3 linked regions of the Arabidopsis thaliana genome follow. The protein of the gene in region 3 purifies or fractionates together with the protein of the main gene of each other region. This does not show direct contact. Each region holds a gene or a part of one and is shown on either strand. Other genes may lie near its edges. The genes, in order: ALPHA-SNAP2, ALPHA-SNAP1 and EIF4A1.

Evidence for each region.
Region 1: the proteins of EIF4A1 (region 3) and ALPHA-SNAP2 fractionate together in Arabidopsis thaliana (co-fractionation; one large-scale study listed by BioGRID). This does not show direct contact.
Region 2: the proteins of EIF4A1 (region 3) and ALPHA-SNAP1 fractionate together in Arabidopsis thaliana (co-fractionation; one large-scale study listed by BioGRID). This does not show direct contact.

What each region holds. Positions count from the first base shown.
Region 1 is NC_003074.8:20,843,269-20,851,662, forward strand, and holds ALPHA-SNAP2 (alpha-soluble NSF attachment protein 2), read right to left. Parts: upstream 5,428-8,394; 5' UTR 5,089-5,427; coding exon 4,944-5,088; intron 4,492-4,943; coding exon 4,442-4,491; intron 4,356-4,441; coding exon 4,283-4,355; intron 4,188-4,282; coding exon 4,108-4,187; intron 3,877-4,107; coding exon 3,725-3,876; intron 3,495-3,724; coding exon 3,335-3,494; intron 3,238-3,334; coding exon 3,190-3,237; intron 3,102-3,189; coding exon 3,021-3,101; intron 2,932-3,020; coding exon 2,851-2,931; 3' UTR 2,406-2,850; downstream 1-2,405. Other genes in the region: CAN (Ca-2+ dependent nuclease), read left to right, coding at 1-105, 193-380, 486-542, 630-858, 953-1,051; AT3G56180 (LURP-one-like protein (DUF567)), read left to right, coding at 1,497-1,751, 1,829-2,059, 2,146-2,280; AT3G56200 (Transmembrane amino acid transporter family protein), read left to right, coding at 6,819-7,182, 7,287-7,439, 7,528-7,731, 7,829-8,294, 8,391-8,394.
Region 2 is NC_003074.8:20,928,699-20,933,369, forward strand, and holds ALPHA-SNAP1 (alpha-soluble NSF attachment protein 1), read left to right. Parts: upstream 1-1,858; coding exon 1,859-2,267; intron 2,268-2,561; coding exon 2,562-2,662; intron 2,663-3,112; coding exon 3,113-3,264; intron 3,265-3,285; exon of another isoform or gene 3,286-3,503; coding exon 3,504-3,654; intron 3,655-3,751; coding exon 3,752-3,799; intron 3,800-3,886; coding exon 3,887-4,171; downstream 4,172-4,671. Other genes in the region: ATG18D (autophagy 18 D-like protein), read left to right, coding at 9-99; AT3G56460 (GroES-like zinc-binding alcohol dehydrogenase family protein), read right to left, coding at 4,331-4,426, 4,501-4,644.
Region 3 is NC_003074.8:4,590,432-4,598,318, forward strand, and holds EIF4A1 (eukaryotic translation initiation factor 4A1), read right to left. Parts: upstream 4,330-7,887; 5' UTR 3,827-4,329; coding exon 3,816-3,826; exon of another isoform or gene 3,699-3,815; coding exon 3,630-3,698; coding exon of another isoform or gene 3,626-3,629; intron 3,546-3,625; coding exon 3,442-3,545; intron 3,352-3,441; coding exon 2,921-3,351; intron 2,840-2,920; coding exon 2,274-2,839; coding exon of another isoform or gene 2,234-2,273; coding exon 2,155-2,233; 3' UTR 1,825-2,154; downstream 1-1,824. Other genes in the region: AT3G13900 (ATPase E1-E2 type family protein / haloacid dehalogenase-like hydrolase family protein), read left to right, coding at 1-250; AT3G13910 (hypothetical protein (DUF3511)), read right to left, coding at 253-302, 704-1,001; AT3G13930 (Dihydrolipoamide acetyltransferase, long form protein), read left to right, coding at 5,809-5,841, 6,230-6,323, 6,593-6,657, 6,754-6,839, 6,932-6,972, 7,154-7,209, 7,294-7,368, 7,452-7,544 and 1 more. UniProt on the Arabidopsis thaliana protein: ATP-dependent RNA helicase which is a subunit of the eIF4F complex involved in cap recognition and is required for mRNA binding to ribosome.

The sequences.
Region 1 (8,394 bases), about 16 Mb from region 3:
TTGTCTTTCTATGGACTACCTTCACCTCACAATCTCGTTGAGGTCCCTACGGAAGCTCCTGTGTCTTTACCTAAAGGAGTTCGGTTTGAGCTTAACACGCTTCCGGTTAGAAAACTTACGAATCTTTAAAAGGTTTGGGATATGATGGTAATGTTGTTGCTGCTGATCAAGAAATTTTCTAAATGAAATAAGGTGGATACAAAATCTGTGGCAGATGGTGATACTGTTACTGTGTATGTTAGTAGCAAAGACCCGCTTGTGTCATCTTCTCTTCCTAAGGACGTGAGTCTTGCAGCGGTTAAAAGAGCCAAAGCGCGTGAGAAGAAGAATTATACTGAAGCAGATGCACTTCACAAGACGATCATAGCTTCTGGTTACAGGTTTGTGTTTTATTGATATACTTCACAAGTTGATTATAAAGTCAAATCAAAATTGATCTACGAAATTCATAATTTTTCCTAACCTTTTTTTCATGTTATACTTAGGATGATAAGTTTTCAGAATGAGGAAGTGCTTGCTAAAAAGTTCAGAATTAGACTAAGGTAAAACACTCTTCCACTCTAGAGAGAACCTCATATTCAATCAAAAGCTATATGTAGAGTTAAAAATTTGGAATGAAAATGAATCAGCGGAATAGATTCACCGGAGAGCAAAATGCCGTATGGAAAAGAGGCGCATGATGAGCTACTCAAGATGGTTGAAGGGAAATGCTTGAAGGTGTTAGTATATACAGAGGATCGTTATGGAAGATGTGTAGGAGATATATACTGCAATGGAAAATTTGTACAGGAAGTAATGCTAAAGAAAGGTCTTGCTTGGCATTATGTAGCCTATGACAAGCGTGCAGAGCTCGCAAAGGCAAGCTTTTATAAACCTTTGTGCTTTTCATTTACAATTTTCTTTGATTATTCCTTCTGATGTTTAACGGTTTGTTTTGGTGTTTTGAATTCAGTGGGAAAATGAGGCTAGGCAAAAGCGCGTTGGCTTGTGGGCATCTTCTAATCCAGAGAAGCCATGGGAGTGGAGAAAGAACAAACGTGGAGGCAATTAATGATAACAAAACCAATAAAAACAACAATACAATACTATTCGATTATATGATTATTGTGAATTAAAGAACTTGTGATCTGTTGTTGTAATTGTAAGAGAAGTATGTATATGTTTTATGTATTGACAAGTATTTTTTTGGCAATAGAGAATTTCTCTTTGAACCTTGAGACAGAAGTTAGCTTAGTTGTTTCGTTTCTAAATATAAGGGTACATAGTTTATTTTTGGGGTTTAACAATCTTTGGTTGAGAATAAAAGTCTGAAAAAGTAAAAACCAATCTTACAATTTCAAATTTGTTTTTAGTTGATATATTGTTTTAAGAAAATGTGAAGAGGTGTTTTTGATAATTCTTCATCATCAGGAGGATTATCAAGGGCTCTAAATAAAGAGCCTTTCATAGTCTTTTGCAATCTTCTTCTTCGTCTTCTTCTTGAACTTTATTCGAAAATGCCGAAGAATAAAAAAACAGAATGGCAAGTAGGAGATCCCGCGATAAGCGTAGTGAGCGATCAATTCTGTAATCCATACCCAATGGATCTTTTGGTGAAGAGAAAAGTTCAGAATTTTTCTAAAGATTATTATGAAGTGTTTGATCCAAGTGGGAATCTGCTCCTACAAATTGATGGACAAGCTTGGGGGTTTAACCGTAAAAGAGTTATGCGTGATCCAGCCGGTTTCACAATCCTCTCAATGCGTCAAAAGGTTACAAAACATTTTAATTTTTCAACAAACATACATATAAAAATGACTCTTTCTTGAAATGGTGTATGATTGTTTAGGGACTTGCGTTGAAGAACAAGTGGGAAGTGCATGGAGGAGAGAGCAAAGAGAGAGAAGACTTGCTCTTCACGGTACAACAATCTCAAGCGGTTTCACTGAAAACATCCGTGGATGTTTTCTTGCCGGAGAACAACAATGTCAAGAAGACAAACACTTGTGATTTTCATGCTTCAGGAGGATACTCCAATATCTCATTCAAAGTTTTCAAAGCGGATGCTCTCATCGCCGGGGTAGGGGTAAAAGTTAAAAACCCATACTTATTAAGAAATTTGCAATTTTTATACATTGGTGAAGGATTGAAATCCTTATATTGCAGGTAACACATAAGTTTACATGGGGAAGTTTCTGCAAAGGGAAATATAACTTTAAGGTGAGAGTAAATCCAGAGGTTGATTATGCTTTTATCATTGCTTTGCTTGTCATGGTCGATGACAACGAGAATTGGTGTTAGTATATTGTCTGTCCTCAATCTCTTTGTTTAGTGGTTCCTTTCACAATTTATTGGTGTATATGTGTTCATTTCTCAAGATATATGTATGTAAGAATATTTTTTCCATGTAATGTGCAATCTTGCTGGCCCAAATGTTTATTTTTCATAAAAGCGTGCAATCAAAGATATATAGAGCAAGAAAACATGAATCAAAACACTACAAATTGTCGTTAACAGGAAGAAAAAGCACACGTTTATTAGATAGATGTAGACGTAAAAGCAAACAAATAATCGAGACATGATCCTCTCGATGCATCAAATAATCGCTGAACGAAGAAGACTCTCCACAGATGTTTAACCAATATAAAAAAAACTCCAGACTTGAGTAGTTCCCATAAATGAAGTGACGAGACGCAGAGAACAATTGTAGACGTCGATACCAAACAAACCCAATTTGACCAAACCTCTTAAGAAACTTTAAAACTCAAAACCAGACACAATAAAATCAAAGAAGAGTCGGACATGAAGTAACGGACATAGTGACAATACAACCCGGGAATGAATAAAAAGCAACGCTCTGGATAAATATGTCTATGTAAGGTCATCCTCCTCTAGCTCCTTGGCCTTGAGCTTCTCCTTCACCCTCAACAACATGGTTGTCTTCCATGAATCCTGCATTAACACCAATTCCATGATCAAGAACCAGGTAGAGTTAAAGAGAGATTTTATTCAAATAGCTGTATATGGTTTACAGCCCATACCAGTGGAGTCATGCTATCAAACTCCTTGACAACATCTGTGAACTTTGCGATGTCTTCTTCATCGATAGCAGAAGCAAGGTCCTGTTCATATGAATAAATGTACAAAACTTAACATACTTTATGTAAGCTGCTCCACAACTTCTTGAAAAAACGGAAGTTTAAACTTTACCGCTAAGAACTTGCATTCCCGTGTTCCAGTAAAAGTTGGATCCAGATCCTGCAAGAAAGTAGAAGTTAGAAAACATGTCATAGTTGCTCAAAGGACCACACCAGAATGTTTATGTTACGGGTGTTTGTTGTGGAAGAAGAAGAACCTGATACTTCTCCAGAGCGTTAGTGATGGAAACAACATCGGCTTTGCATAAGTGGCACATGCCAGCAGTGAGAAGATGGCCCTTAACTCCATACTTGAGCAAGTTATTGTTGAGTGAATGGCGTGCTATGTCTTCATAAATCTTGATTGCCTTCTCATACCTACCAAAGATACAACAACAAGCCTATTATCAATCAATCGGTCCCAAAGTAGAGAAAAGGCTATAATTGCTGTGCTCATGCATACTGCATAGAGAACATCACAATTCCATACAATGACAAGTTTGTGGATTGACAATTCGATTTTAACAGGGTTCCATCTGAGTACTATAAGCACTTCAATGCTAAGGGATGAGAAAGCAAAAAGAAAGGTAATGTGCCGAAAATCTTACTGCTCCAGCTGGGCGGCATATTGCGCAACCTTTAGATTGCACTGGTTTGCAGAAGTGGTCACTTCTTCATTCTGAAAGAATTCAGCTGCCTTTTCAAAGTAAGCAATAGCCTGCTCGAACTTCTGATCAGATTCATAATACTCAGCAATTTCCTGTCAAAAGTAAAAAACCATTAATGTACAAATTAGTCCAAATACAGCAAGTCAGCACCATGCTTACTTTAGTTTAGAAAAGGAAAAAGACAATCTGAATCCGACTGAACATGCATAAAGAAACAGGAACCATGGAGGAAATACAGAAGAAGTGCCCCAATAAAACTATCTTCTCAGTATCCGTACTAAAAGAATAATATCTAATTCATGCTCAAAAGAGACAAGTGGTACCTTGTAATATCTTGCAGCCATGTTGAGCCTTCCTATCTCACAAAATATATTCACCGCTCGCTCTAGGCAAGACGCAGCCTCTGCATATAATATTAGGACGCATGAAAACACATAAGAATTCATAATCACTCTTGCATTACAGAGATGACAATTACAAAAGTAGCTTTATACATACCATTAGTGTCAACTTTCTTGTAGCATTTAGCAGCCTCAGCATAGGCGTTAGCAGCATCATGTTTGCTATCTGACTGCAGATGCAATCATGCAAATCAATGTTATCAAACAATCCACACATTAGTCCAGTATCATATATATGTGTTGCCAAAGAATTAACCTTTAAGTGACAGTCGGCAAGTTTTAGATAAGCTTTTCCAGCTTGATCCCCTGAACAATCACAAATGCAACACATAAGTAAGAAGATAGCGTTGGAGAATTAAACAAATATCAGAAAAGAACATGAAACCTATTAAACTCAGCCAAATAGAACCCAAATTAGGTACTATAATTGTGCCACTTATCAATGACTTGCTAGAAGGCCAGAAACCAATATCAAGGAATCAGAATGATGAATCTCCGATTTAAAATGTTTTCGTATGAAATTATCAACCATAAATTTCTTACAGATCAAAATAGACCTAATATAAACCCAGATACTAATTCTACTTCTCACATGACCATAGACAAATCACCGCAACTGATAAACCTAAGATCAAACGTTTCAAATTTCACCTTTTTTTTCTTCCTCATCATCACAAAGAACAACAATAAAAAAAAACACGACACCAATCCGATGAAACAATAATCAAAAGCAAAGAAATTTTATTTATGGAAATTACATGATTTGGCGAGCTTATAGGAATTAGCTGCTTTTTCGAGCAGATCAGCAGCATCCTCGTACTTAGATCCGAATATTCCCCATCCATTGAGCTTTTTCTCAGCTTTCTTCTCGAATTCCTCAGCTCTCACCAGATGATCCCCCATTCCTTTTTTTTCCCCGAAACTCTGACTTGAAATTTGATCGTGTACTTCTTTACCTCCACAGACTCCGATTGCTTCTCTTTTCTTCGTCGAGAGAAATTGCTTTCGATTTGGATTATTCGCTGCGATGAAAGAGAGAGAGACGAGAATCGATCGAGAGCGAAAAATCAGAGACACGCTTCGATAGGGGAAAAGATTTTTCAACCGACTAAAGTGGGCCAAATTTGTCTATTTAAAATATGGGCTTTGTTTTGAAAAGCCCAAGTTAGCCCAATCAAAAGTTTTTCCGTACTTTGTTATTGGGTCGCTTTAACCAAGCTTAGAAAATATGGGATCAGGTTTATCAGTTGGGATTGAAGAAAAGCTTACATGAATTATCAAGTAAAACGATTTCCTGTTATATCTGCTCGTCCTTCTACATTCTTCATTAGCCATTATTATAGTTCTCAAATCACGACAAATATTGCTGACAGTTTCCACTAAACAAACCTATGTTCCAAAATGCACAAACTGGTAAAAACCTAGTATGTTTTAATATCAAACACATGAGTAACAACAATATCGGTTTTAATATCAAACACATGAATAACAACAATGGCTAAATAACAACCGTTACAAATCTATGAAATGTTCAATTTTTTAGCAAATCATTTCATGGGTAATCGGTAATTTTTTTGTCTTTTGTGAGTTGCAGAGGTAATCTTCTGTTGTTGGGCTTCTCGACATGTTGAATGGTATTGGGCTTAGTGTCTTGGCCCATAGCATTCTGTTTGGGAGACTCTGAGCTGAGCAGAGAGTTTGACCCAAGCTCTGTTGTTGTTGACTGAAGCTTCTCCTTTACACACAGAGATGATCTAAAATAAACTGTAACTTTGCAACGAGGGATTTCTGCGGCAATATTAATGTTGCTATCAGTCACATTCTATAATGTTAACTGAGTAACTTCAATATGATTCATATGAAATGATTAAATAAAAATAACTTTAGAAGACAGTGTTTAATTATTCTTATATTGTTTCGTTTATCACGTTTTCAATTATTCATTCGACATTCCGCATTCGCTGCCCTCTCGTTTTCTTGATGAAAAGTCTCGAACCGTCTGCTCTAAAGTTAGTTTATTACACGTGAGCCATCTTTGAGGCCGCCAATGATATGATTATATATTGGATTTTATTATATCCACGAAAATTTTAAATTATTTAGGAGTTTTTTTCTTTTTTGGACAACTTATATGAGATGAGAAGCGATGATACACATTTGGCCACTTTTTCGTCTAGATACATTCTTCGTGAAGAAATCCAAGTGCACACATTCATTAGTGTTGGACGGACCCATTTTATTTTGGATTTTTTTGTATAATTCTTTGGGGTTTTTTTGTTAATAATTCACTTCTGTCTATAATATGATTATGATTGTTCATCATATTTTAGCTGTAATTTCCTCTCTTGAACAAAATTATTATTTTCGTGATGTTTTTAAGTACGTGACGAAAGATCATTTGGTGATCTCACTGACATGATTTGCCCAGCCTGTCAGGTTTACCTATGGTCAAATATCATTTTCTCGATTTTGCCCCAAACGGTCAAGGCATATATCCCCAATCTTCAAAGGGTATTTATGTACTTTTCGCTATTAACCGTGTGGCTATATGAAGCCGATTCCTCATAACAACTACAAAAAAGGAAAGCTTCTTCCCGCCGGCAAATTCTTACGTTTCTCCGGCGGTTAGAAAAATGACACCACAGATCAAAACTCATCTCTTGCCGAAGCAAGAACCTTCTTCGTCTGAGAACCATGGATCATCAACCTCCGGCATCGTTTTCAACGTGTCAACGAGTATAATCGGAGCCGGAATAATGTCGATGCCGGCGGCGTTTAAAGTTCTTGGAATAGTTCCAGCGTTTTTGATTATCACGATCATAGCTTGGCTTTCCACAATTTCCGTTGGATTTCTGATGAAATCAACTCTCGCCGGAGAATCAACTACTTACGCCGGAGTTATGAAAGAGTCGTTTGGTAAAACAGGATCCATCGCTGTACAGATTGCTACGATGGTTGCTACTTTTGGTTGTATGATTATATTTTCGATTATTATAGGTAAAGTAATTTGATCTAATCATCTAAGTGTAGAGGTCTCAGCTACTATTTGAGCTTAAGAACAGATTGGCTGAGTTTGGATTTGTATGTGTTTACTCTCTCAGGAGATGTGCTTTCTGGTAATGAAAATGGTGGTCCTGAACATATTGGAGTTTTGCAAGAATGGTTTGGTTCTTACTGGTGGAACACGAGAATCTTCGCTTTGTTATTTGTCTACGGCTTTGTCTTGCTTCCATTGGTCCTGCGTAGACGAGTCGGTAAGTTTCTCTCTATAATCTTGTGTTCTCAAAATTATGGATATCTATGAGATTGTTGATGATTTTCTTTTTGTTAATGGTTATGTAGAAAGACTGGCAATTAGTTCCGCTGTATCGTTTCTTCTTGCGGTTCTATTTGTTGTCATAAGCTCGGTGCTGGCGATTTCCGCGCTGGTGAATGGACAAACGAAGAATCCAAGACTGTTTCCGGAGTTGAGCAATGGAGGATCGTTCTGGCAACTCTTCACAGCTTCCCCTGTTATAGTTACAGCCTTCACGTTTCACTTCAATGGTAAGAACCCATCTCTTTCACCATATTGGTAACTGTTTCTCTGTTTTCTCTGTTTTTTCATGTTTCTGAGTTTGGTGTTGTGATTCAAAATGTGCAGTTCATCCAATTGGATTCGAGCTCAAAGATCCATTACAAGTGATCCCAGCAACTAAGATCTCTGTCATCTTGTGTGCTGCTATCTACTTCGCAACTGGACTCTTTGGTTACCTTCTCTTTGGAGATGCAACTATGTCGGATATTCTAGTGAACTTTGACCAGAGCTCTGGTTCTTCCATTGGTTCTCTTCTCAACGACATTGTCAGACTCAGCTACGTGCTTCACCTCATGCTGGTCTTTCCTCTCCTGAACTTCTCATTGAGAGCAAATCTCGACGAACTCTTGTACCCCAAGAAGCCGTCCTTGGAAAAAGACACAAAAAGATTCATCGGACTCACTCTGGCTCTACTGATTTGCTGTTTCTTGTCTGCAATCGCTGTACCAGACATTTGGTACTTCTTTCAGTTCATGGGATCAACCATCACAGTCTCCATAGCATTCATATTTCCAGCCGCCATTGTTCTAAGGTAGATATGCTTTGTTTCCTTTACTATGTACTTTATCAGTTGCTTCAAACTTCCTATAAAAATCTTACCAACTGCTTTCTGATTCTGAAATGGCAGGAAT
Region 2 (4,671 bases), about 16 Mb from region 3:
CCTTACAGTTTCTACAGGTGCAATTTCGATCCAGTGAACGGAGGAGAGATGACTCAGCTTGAACATTTCCATTTTCTGAAGCAAGATAGCCCGAGATAGTCAGACCACGTGCTTGGTTTGAGTTTTATGTACATAACAATTGGCTCTGTATATAGATTTGGTGAAACCGCATACGATTTTATTCTTCCAAGCTTTACTTGATTGAAGGAAAATGTATTCTTGATTGGAACAATGTATATACAAAAAGGATTTTTTTTTGGTTATAACACTAATTTCTACAGAGAATCAAACTGCAATTCGATTACGTTTATTAAAATTTCAAATCAGAATGTTGATTATAGGACAGATATAACAAATGCAAGATGGTTCAGCTTACATGGTCATTTCAAGGTTACAGAACCGGATTTCTCCATTTAATTTAAAGACTTATACATTTAATTATTAATATTTAGTAACTTTAATTTTATAGAGACAATATAGAAAATTATGCAATGGAGATGCTTTAAAAGTATTAGGTGCCAGAGTTAAAAAAAAAAAAAAAGTATTAGGTGCCTTGTCGTCACCAGATTCCATTGGATTTTACGACTTTTTGTTAAACTCACAAGTCGCTAGCTTGTGGTTTAAGCAATCTTTTTTTTTTTATATAAAATTTACATATATTAAAAATTTTATGTGGTTTTTTTTTACATAATAGTTAATGATGCATTAAATTTAAGCAATTTTAATGATGCATTGATTTTATTAATTCCCCTTGCTCAAAATACTTTCTATGGTGTGATTAACACAAATTATATTATTATTCTTTTAGAAATTTTTGCTTGTAAATGCTAGTTTTGATTGCATTATTATTCTTTTTTCTTTTACGTCATTTACGAGAATTTTCAATTTTGTTTTATCAAAAATTTCTAATTGAATATTTGATGTTGCACATAAACTGACCGTGATACATGTGCTTGTTCTGTATATAGATTTGTTGAAATAACACTAGAGTATGCTACCAATGTTACGGATCACGGTCTCCAAGCAATTGGTAAAGGATGCAAAGAATTAAAACATCTTGAAATACTAAACTGTCCTGTTAGTAAAACAGGTCTTATAGAAGCAGGCGAGAGCTCTTCTTCCATTAGATATCTTTACGCATCAGGTAATAAAGATGGAAAGGAAGGAGGAGTGCAATCTTTTGCACAAAATAATGATAATATATTTTCTTTTCATTTGTTGTTAAGATTCTCCGAGATCTTCTCGAGATCTTTTTTGGAAATACGATAAGATAGGCTGAATAATTCTTATTCTGAAATTTTTTGGTAATGCGAAACCTTTGTTTTATATGTTCAAGAAGAAAAGAAATATTAAGAATTTTTTTTTTGTTCAGTCACACAACTTTAGAACAAAATTATGTTAATAATTTTCTTCATTTTAAATCCAAAACTTCAAAAGTTAGAAAACATATGAAGTAAAATAAAATAAAATGTGCTAAGCTATAAATTGATTTTAGTTTACATAACAAATTCTAATTGAAACTTATTTTTTTATATCGTCAAAAAACAACAACTAAATTCTGAAAAAATATCAAAAACTCCAATTTGGAAAGTATAAATTACAAACTAACTTGTTTTATTTTATGTTTTAATATAATAGTTTAGTTGGTTTAATAATAGTAAGTGTTATTTTATTATTTTTTAAAAGGGAAGGGTTTAAAAACCCACCAAAAAATCCCTTAAATGGATGCTTAAAAATCTCTGGTCGCGGGCTTAGCCCCAGTAGACTAGTTAGATCACTGTGTGGTCTGGGCATTGAGTTATCAAAGAAAAAAAGGGAAGGGTTTAAAAACCCACCAAAAAAGTTGAGGGTTTTGTACATGTTTTTTGTAAAAGGTGAGGGTTTTTTTTACCCACTTTTCATAGAGCTGAGGAACTTGATAAGATATCAAACAACAAGAGTCTCCAACTCAAGCAGAGACTTCAATCTCTCACAACAACACTGCAGCTGTTTCAGGCCCAAAAGGAGACACGAAGCCCATCTCTCATTCATCGGAACTCTGCAATACTCAAAACAGAGAACCATCACGCGAGCCGCTTCAGCTACCATCGCTCGCCGCCAACTCTTGTTGTTGTTTGATATCACTTTCTCTTCTTCAAGCAGTTGCTACTACTTTCAGAAGAAAGCTGAGAAGAAGCTTAACAGACGGAGAAGATTCGACACTAAGTACGAGGATGCTGCTGATCTGCTCGAGAAAGCACGTGATTCCTATAAGCTTGCCAAATCATGTAATTTCCATAAATAATAATCAGCCGGCCTTGATTTTTGTTTCATCTGATTGATTTGTGATGATGATGAGGAAGAAAAGGTGAAACTTGAGACTTTTGATTGATCTTTGGTTTAGCAATTGTGGTGATCCTTCCATGGTGTTGTGAGAAGTTGATTTTAGGCCTCTTTGATATGTGGGAATTATAAATTGGATACTCAACATTTAGATTACTCGATAATGATGGTTTTTGGCCTTATAGTAAAGTCATTGATAAGTATCTTCTTGCTTATGTGTTTGATTTGTGATTCTTCAGGGGATCAAGCTGGAATAGCTTATCTAAAACTTGCCGATTGTCACTTAAAGGCAAATTCTTTGGCAAACACATATATGATAATGGACGAATGTATGGATCATGTAGCAACAGCTTTTTAGATTTTAATTGACATATATGTACTACAGGACTGATTATCAACTCTTGTGTGTTTTCCTTTCGCTATGCATGTTTATCGCGTCCAAATATAACCATGACCTTATTATATGCAGAGGCTGCATCTTGTCTAGAGAGAGCGGCGAATATATTTTGTGAGATAGATAGTAAGGCTCAACATGGCTGCAAGATATTACAATGTACTACATGTCTCTTTTGAGTATGAATTAGATACTGTTACTCTTTTAGTACGGATAGTGAGAAGATAGTTTTATTGAGGGGGAGGCACTTCTTCAGCATCTTCTCCATGGTTCGTGTTGTTTATGCATGTTGGATCCTGTCGGATTTGTTTCTTTTTTTCTACAGTATATATAGTAAGCTTGGTACTGACTTTCTGTATTTGTACTAATGTGTACATTGTCATTTACTTTTGACAGGAAATTGCTGAGTATTATGAATCTGATGAGATGTTCGAGCAAGCTATTGCTTACTATGAAACGGCAGCTGAATTCTTTCAAATAGAAGAAGTGACCACCTCTGCAAACCAGTGCAATCTAAAGGTTGCACAATATGCTTCCCAGCTAGAGCAGTAAGATTTTCGGCACCTGACCTTTTTTTGGCTTTCTCATCCTCTGGTATTGACGTACTTACAGTACTGAGATGGGACCATGTTAAAATCGAATTTTCAAACCACAAATTTGACATTGTTTGGAATAATGTTGTTGTTCTCTACACATGAGCACATGGATTATAGCCCCTTCTCTACTTTGGGGCGGATTGATTGATTGATAATAGGCTTGCTGTTGTATCTTTGATAGGTATGAGAAGGCAATCCAGATTTATGAAGACACAGGCACGCCATTCACTCAACAATAAGTTGCTTAAGTATGGAGTTAAAGGCCATCTTCTCACTGCTGGCATGTGCCACTTATGCAAAGCTGATGTTGTTTCCATCACTAATGCACTGGAGAAATATCAGGTTCTTCTTCTTCCACAGCAAACAGCCTTAACATCAGCATCCTGGCGTGGTCCTTTGAGTAACTATGACATGTGTTCTAACTTGTACTTTCTTGCAGGATCTGGATCCGACTTTTTCAGGAACACGGGAATGCAAGTTCTTAGCGGTAAAGTTTAAACTCTGGTGTTGTAAGAAATTGGGGAGTAGCTTACATAAAGTATGTTAAGTGTTGTACATTTATTCTCATGAACAGGACCTTGCTTCTGCTATCGATGAAGAAGACATTGCAAAGTTCACAGACGTTTCCAAGGAAATTGATAGCGTGAGTCCACTGGTATGGGCAGTAAACCACATGCAACTATTTGGATGTAAACTCTGTCTGGTTCTTGATCATGACAACAATGTTGTTGAGGGTAAAAGAGAAGTTCAAGGCCAGGGAGCTGGAGGAGGATGCAAGCTTTACTTGATTGAAGGAAAATGTATTCTTGATTGGAACAATGTATATACAAAAAGGATTTATAACTACACTAATTTCTAGAGAAAATCAAACTGCAATTCGATAACGTTTATTGAAATTTCAAATCAGAATGTGGATTATATGCCAGATATAAATGCAAGATGGTTCAGCTTACATGGCCATTGCAATAACCTTATTTCTAGAATACATAAGCTGTTTTCTCCTACGGCCATAAAGAGTCTATAGTTTTGAAGACAGGGCAGTCTTGTGGTCGAGAGCAATCATCACTTTTCCAATTGCCTTCCTGTCTTTGAGGTCCCCGAATGCAAGATTGGCCTGTAATCAAAACGGTAAGTGTTTAATTACATGTTTTGAGTTTTGATGTCATGAAGATGAGTTAATGTTTTCACCTGGGAGAGGCTATAGGTATGAGAGATGTGAATAGTGATCAATCCTCGGGAAAGCCATGACAATAACTCTTTGATGGAATCTTCAAGGACATTGGGCTGATGGATCCTGTAGCTACCCCAGTAAAGACCATGAACCGTCCAGTTCTGCACCAATTGGTTACTACAACTTAT
Region 3 (7,887 bases):
CCCTCTGGACCATCACATCATCCAAGAGATCAAGCATTTCAGAATCGACGTCCAGGACGAATGTATGTGGACGAGGGAAAGATCAAAGGCTAGAGAGAAGACCAAGATTGGAGTGACAGCTCGTGTTGATGCCAAGATCCGCCAGCTGAGAGGAAGGCTCCAGAGAAAACACTCCATATTGAGCGTTATGAGCGGTCTGAGTGGCGTCTCAGCATCAACTGATACAACTTCCACCACACAACATAGTTGAACTCATCCAGTAAGTTTCCTCTTTCTCGAGAAAAAAAATCCATTAATTGGAACTGGAAGGAAGCAGACCAAAGAAGAAAATTGGGATTGAAGATAATAGGCAACAAAGAAAGGGACAGAGAATGTTGTATTGTGTGAGTTTGTGTGTGTATACTAAAGAAAATGAAAAGAAAGAAAGAATTTGAATAGAGTTTCTTATAAATAGATTCTTTTTCTTTCTGAAGAAAGAATTGGTTTTGATTGTAACTGAAGAAGTATGGTCATATTCACATGTAGATATGAAAACTGATTTCATTCATTATCTGTCTCATTCAAGTTCAAAGACTCTTCTTCTACATATAGTTGCAAGAGAAAGAAAATACTATCAATTTTTTGTTCGTTACAGATATATTTAACTCTCACAGCACAAAGAAGAGATTTTAAGAAAGTTGAGAGAAGGTATATCAAGAAATACCGATAATGTCTTTGAACCATTTGAAGCTCTTTCGAATGGATCCCTTCATCTTCTGTTCAACGGAATAAACTTTGTAGCCAGCGACTCTTCTCTTCCTCCGCGATTCTGGATCGCTGAAACTCCAGCTTCTTGACGCCGCACGATCCGCGTTTGGAACGCTTTTGCTTTTCTTTATCTTTAACTGGTAATCGTTCGTTTGACTCTGATCGCCGGCTGAATCGTCGAAGCTCCCGCTGTTGTAACCTTTCACTGCGTCTCGACGGTTTCCAGAAGCTGGCGGTTCGTAATAATTCGCCATGGCTGAGTTTGAGAGTTTTGGTCTGAACGAAGAAGAGTCGTCGTCGACTCTGTTTTTAATAGATTTTGATTGTCTTTTTAAAAGTTATAAAAGGAAATTTTAATAAAACAATATGTTTATTTTCCAAATAATTAAAGGTATCTTTTTTAGAAATCAATTTACAATTGTCATGTGGAGTTGGTCAAGGACCTACTTGTGTTTTTTTTCCCTCTTTTTTTCTTCAAACGAATTAAGTTATTCAACTTAGAAATAGAAAGAAAATGAATACGTAAAATTGGTATGAATCACTAGACTTTTCATGTGTTTTTCTTTTCTTATGATTTATAATGATGGTTAGGTTTGTGTGGATGTGATGATTTCCCAACTATTTCAAAATAGGCACGTGGATTTGTCCAAACCTGTAATTTCTCACAGGAAATAAAATTTCTTTCATAGTTTCGTGAAGAAACTTTGCAGAAGTTCAGACCAATAATTTCACTTTGATATTATAAAAGTGAAAAACCCTTGTCGGTGGTAGGCTTGACTCGGAATCATTGAATCCACATCCATAAAATTTTGAATATACTTCTTTTGAGAAAAAAAGGAAATAGTACATCAAAACTATTAGATATAATATTTATTTTCCATAAGGCTAGAAATATAAAGAAGATGCATGAAAAACGAAAGATAAAGCGAGTTCGTCGCTGTGTCCAAACAGACTTTTGATCAGTAGATTTGTCGTTAAAGCAGCGCCTGAGAGAGTGTGCCAATGCTTCATCCTTGATTGATGCAATGGAAAAAAAGTAACCCCGACTATTCAATTAATTTGTGAGCCAAGCATTTTAACCAGTTTGACATAAACATATAAAATAAGTTTAATGCTGAGATATAGATTTGAAAAAGCTTAAAACCAAACTTTGATGAAAAGATTTGATTGATACAAAAATCAAAGACAAACAACAAAGCCGAATATTAAAATAGTGAAGAAATAAATACTCCATATGACTTAAACTTAAAAATGGTCAAGAAGAGAGAGATATGTTCGTAGCTGGGAGAGAGAGGAGAGAACAACAACTAAGAAAATTTAAGAAATGTAAATCGCTGATAGACGACGGGTCAAAATCAGATCAAAGAGTGCCTTGCAAAACAAGAAAACCTTTCTTCTCCGGTGATACTAGTACGGCAGAGCAAACACAGCAACAGAACCGACTTCTTTTCTCCCTTCACAGCAGATCGGCCACGTTCGAAGGCAGCTCTTCGACAACCACATTGTAGAATTTCTGAATATCAAACAGCATCCTCTCATCATCACGGGTCACGAAATTGATCGCAACACCCTTTCTCCCGAACCTTCCACTTCTTCCGATACGGTGAAGGTAGTTCTCTGGCTGAGTTGGGAGATCGAAGTTGATAACCAGGGAGACTTGTTGGACATCAATACCACGAGCTAAGAGGTCAGTGGTGATGAGAACACGGGAGGAACCAGACCTGAACTCTCTCATGATGATGTCCCTGGTGTTCTGGTCCATGTCTCCGTGAGTTGCAGAGACTGTGTGGTCACGGCTTCTCATTTTGTCTGTGAGCCAATCAACCTTACGCCTGGTGTTCACGAAGATGACACTCTGAGTGATGGCAAGAGTCTCGTAGAGATCACAGAGTGTCTCGAGCTTCCACTCTTCTTTCTCAACGTTGACGTAGAACTGCTTGATACCTTCAAGGGTAAGCTCATCACGCTTCACCAAGATTCTCACTGGCTTGCTCATGAACTTCCTTGTGATCTCAAGAGCTTCTGGTGGCATTGTTGCGGAGAACACACCAACTTGGATCTTTGGTGGAAGAAGCTGGAATATGTCATAGATCTGAAAAAACCCAGAAACCAGTGAGATTCAAGTTAAACTATAACGAGAATGGAATTGAAACACTGAGAAATATTTGCATACCTGGTCCTTGAAACCACGGGAGAGCATTTCATCAGCTTCATCGAGAACAAACATCTTGATGTTGTCAGCACGAAGAGACTGCCTCTTCAACATGTCAAAGACACGCCCTGGAGTTCCAACAACAACATGGACACCAGCTTGGAGGATGCGCTGATCCTCACGGACACTGGTTCCACCAACACAGGCGTGAACCTTGACACCAAGGTAATCACCAAGGGCCCTCATGACCTTCTCAATTTGCTGAGCAAGCTCTCTAGTTGGAGCTAGAACCAAAGCCTGACACTGGATAAGGGAGAAGTCCAGCTGCTGCAAGACACCAGAGCAGAAAGTTGCTGTTTTCCCAGTACCAGACTGAGCCTGTTGAATCACATCAAGACCCTTACAGAAGGGGACGATTCCTCTTTGCTGAATAGCAGAAGGCTTCTCAAAACCTAAGAAAAAACAGAAGCACGCATGAGATAATGTTCTAATCTAAGACATAAATCACAAAAGATAGCTTTTTCAAGTTCCTACACACATACCATAAGCATAAATACCCCTGAGAAGGTTCTCTTGAAGACCCATGGCATCAAAGCTCTCATGAACATCATCATAGGATGTGAAGAACTCATCTTGTCCCTCAAGTCTGTATCAATACAGTACAATTAGCAGCTAGAGCATGCGGAGAGAACACACTCAAGAATGAAAAAACAGAAGTAAAAAGACTCACACTTCATTGAGTTTCTGGTCAAACTGACGTGCATCAAACTGTGTGCCTTCTGGTGCAGATCCTGCCATGCTACATAAAAAGAACAAAAACAATCAGATTTCATATCAAAAGGAAGAGAGACAACACCTATTTTGATATCGTTAATAATATGATTGCAAAGGAGGAAATGTGACAAGAAAGCCAAACTCGAAGTCCATAAAGAGAGGAAAACAAGCATTAATATCTGCCTCAGATGATGTGCGGAGAAAATGTATAAAGGCACATATGGTTATCTATTAAACATAGACACCACTCAACCTATTTCTCCAAATTACAAAAAAAAACATTCAATCAGACAAAACCAAGTGAGTGTTAAGACAAGAACATCTGAGCTTTGAAGACGATTCATTTCATTCTATTGAGAGACTAACCTAGCCGTAACAAAATCTACAAACCCATCAACAAATCTACAGATGTGTAGATCCTAAATTTAATAATCGTCATCATCAGCAGCTCAGAATCTAATAAAGAGAACAAAAACGAAAGCACTTCCACAGCAAAAAAAACGATCTTGAAGTAACGAAAAATCAAAACTTCCAAATCAACTCAACAAAGTTGAAACCAAATCTATCGGAAAACACAAAAAAACAAATCAGAACAATCCAAAAGTAAAGAAACAATCATGAATCGTAAAAGTTACATCGAGATAATAGATAGACAATCCGATAGGATGCGAACCTGGAGCAAAGTTGGTAAGCGAGAGTAAAGGGCTTTTTTCAGGGAGCTTGAATCTCCCAAACTCGGATCTGAACCGCGTTGAGAGAGAGAGAGCAAAGAGAAGAGCGAAGATTGCGAGAGACTGGTGGAATATCCGAAAGAGGCTGAGAGAAAACGCGTTACCTTGTTTATATACTCCGTCTTTAGGGTTTTCTCCTTTGGAAATCTTCTCCTTTTCTTTTTCGGATTTCCGGTTTTACCCCTTTATTCCCTTTCTTTTTACTCTTTTGGCTCGGACAAGGTTTTCCAACACTTAGCTCATTGTCTTAACTTGATTTTGGCAAAAATAAATAAACAAATATCTAGTGGGAAATTAGGAACATAAATTCTTCATTTATTTTGTGACTAGCAAAGAAAATATTCTTCATTTATTTTATTTTCTTTTCCAAAGCTTTCTTTCTCCTGCAACTTTTATTGCTTTTTGACGTTACAAAGCATTTTCCCGATTACAACGAGGATATTAGAAGAATAAAGTGACTGATAAGAACGTTTTATCTGAAAATGTCTTTACTTATTAACACATCTATCTCTCTATGTTGAATGTTTAATCATGTAATTGTTCCACAAGTGATATGAAGAATCCTTGAAACGAAGCAAAACACATTGAGTAAGAAGAAGGTAACTAGCTAGTATGAAGAAGCAGCAAGTTGCTATCTATCTTCAACAAAAAATGCTTTGATTTTAGCCTCAAGAGACTTTCTTAGAATCTGTTGCCATTGAAGAAAAAGCTGGAGAGGGCAAAACATAATCATGATGCTTAGGATAAGCAAAAAATATGTATTTAGCTTGTGTAGGTAGAGGAAGAGCTAGGAGTTTTTTGTGTGACAGGAATCGAGGGAAAACGATGGGCCAAAGATTAGGCCCATTAATAAGTTTGACTAATCCCTGCCGTTCATTAGATGCCTACGTAATCACTAACGCACCTGATGATCTCTGTCTTTTGGTGAGACGCAAAAGCTCAGAGAATAATAATAGGGCCCAATATAATAAAGTACAAACCGAAATTTGTGAAGCTTAATTAGTCGGTTTAAATACTTTTATATCGGTTATGGTAGAATTGGTGTTGGTACGATACAATCTGGTACATGTAAGGCAGCATTTTGCCATTTCTGAAAAACCTAAACACAAAACTATCTTCATCATCATCATCAAATCCCAGCTTTCTTCCAAGTGATCCTTCACTCTCTATACTGCGATTTACCGTTCTTCTGACTCTTGGTGAGTTCTAGATCGAATCCTATCTTCCATCCACATATTTACTGTTTCAAAATTGGATTGAGTACAAGTCAAATTCATCGATCTCGATCTCTGATATAGTTGCCGAGGGAAAAAGGAGAAACCCCCTAACAAACATTCCCACCATTTTTTTTGTTATTTGCAGTTGCGAATTCGGATCGGCTGACGCAGCTCCGATTGCACAACAATGGCTTCTCGTATCATCAATCATTCCAAAAAGGTTTCTCTTTCTCTATTTTTCATTTTTTTCTGTGGTTTGACTACCATTTTTGATCTTGTAAAACTGAGTTTATGCATTCGTTCTTATGTGTTTTGCTCTGCCAATCATTTTTTTCTGAACTGAGGTTCGTTTTCCGGGTTTGACTTAATCTAATCATGAATTTGGTATTTTTAATTTGATCATGGGCAATTCTGCATTTTGCTATTGAGAGCTTTAGTAACCTCCTTGTAATCTGAATTGTGATTAATGTAGTAGCTTCGCTTTATGATTCAATTGTGGTATTAGCTATTCATTTTATTAGTACAAGAAGACTCTACTTTTACAGCAGAGTAATTGTATGTTGCTCTTTGTAAACACTATTTTGACGATTGTTGTGTTATCTGACCAGTTGAAACATGTTTCCGCTTTACTGCGGCGTGACCATGCTGTGGCAGTCCGCTGTTTCTCCAACAGTACCCACCCCTCTCTCGTTGGAAGAGAAGGTAATCCAGTCAGCTTTCTTAGTGTCCTCTTCATTGCTATCCTTAAGTTCATTTTATGTAGAAATGTGTGGTGGTTTCTTTTATTTGATACGGTAACAAGCACCACACAGTACTCTGGGATGAATAGTCCAAGTTTGACTTTCACATCGTTTTCAACATGAAGAACATAACAACGTTCCAACTTTAATTAATTGAAAGTTGGTATGTTTTGAGTATATATTATGCTTCTCGCTTAAGCATTTATTTTTCTATTTTTATTTGGTCTTCAGATATCTTCAAGGCCCGCCTGAATTATTCCTCTGTAGAGAGAATTTCAAAATGTGGTACTGGCAATGTAAGTCCCTGCTGTTCAGTTTCCTTTCTCGTCTTTGCTTTGTCACGTAATCGTCTGTGTTTTTTTGGTCGTAATGTCATTAGCTGCATTATATAGGTAACAATGCTTAGTGGTATTTCAACAACGAGCACAAAACTAAGCAGCCCAATGGCAGGACCAAAACTATTTAAAGAATTTATAAGGTATGTAATCCATTTACCGATGAGAATACAACTTGCTACCTTCCTGTATGAATACTTCTATCCTAACTGTAAGCTTCTTTTCTTGCTTTTAGCTCCCAGATGCGATCAGTGAGAGGATTTTCATCCAGTTCAGGTATTTAGTTCTTTATTGTAACTTCCCGCTTGTTCTAACATATATTTTCACTTGAATTGTACTTTTTTTTGTGAGCATCTGACTTGGTTTTTGTGCCTTTTGCGGCCATCATATTTCTGTCACTGTGTATATGCAGCATACATGGTTTGTTTTACTGATAACTTTTTAAAATATGTTTCAGATCTTCCTCCTCATCAAGAGATTGGAATGCCTTCTCTTTCGCCAACAATGACTGAGGCATGTACCTCTGAATACCTCTTACGAAAATTAACATGGTTTATTGTTTTATCATTCTACTAAAGATATCTGTTGAAACTTCAGGGTAACATTGCCAGGTGGCTGAAGAAAGAAGGTGATAAAGTTGCTCCTGGTGAAGTGCTTTGTGAAGTTGAAACTGTAATGATAATCCTGATTGAATCTCTTCCTGTATTGATTCTTATGCCAGGAATAAAACACTTATCTCAATCTTAATATTTTAGGACAAAGCAACAGTCGAAATGGAATGCATGGAAGAGGGTTTTCTCGCCAAGATAGTAAAGGAGGAGGGGGCAAAAGAAATTCAAGTTGGGGAGGTATGAGAGTTTCTGACTTTTGGAGACTTGTTAATTATAATGGGTTCTCATGAAGTATTTGATTGTGAGCCCTATGCTCCCTTTAGTTGAAGATCAATGAATATTCAATAAAAATGACAAAGATCTTTATCTTCATTTGTAGAATCACATATAAATGGTCCCTTTTTTTTTTGTCCAACTAGGTGATTGCTATCACAGTTGAAGATGAAGATGATATTCAAAAGTTTAAAGATTACACACCCTCATCCGATACTGGTCCCGCTGCGCCTGAAGCAAAACCAGCTCCTTCCCTACCAAAGGAAGAGAAGGTAGAGAAGCCAGCCAGTGCTCCTGAAGCCAAGAT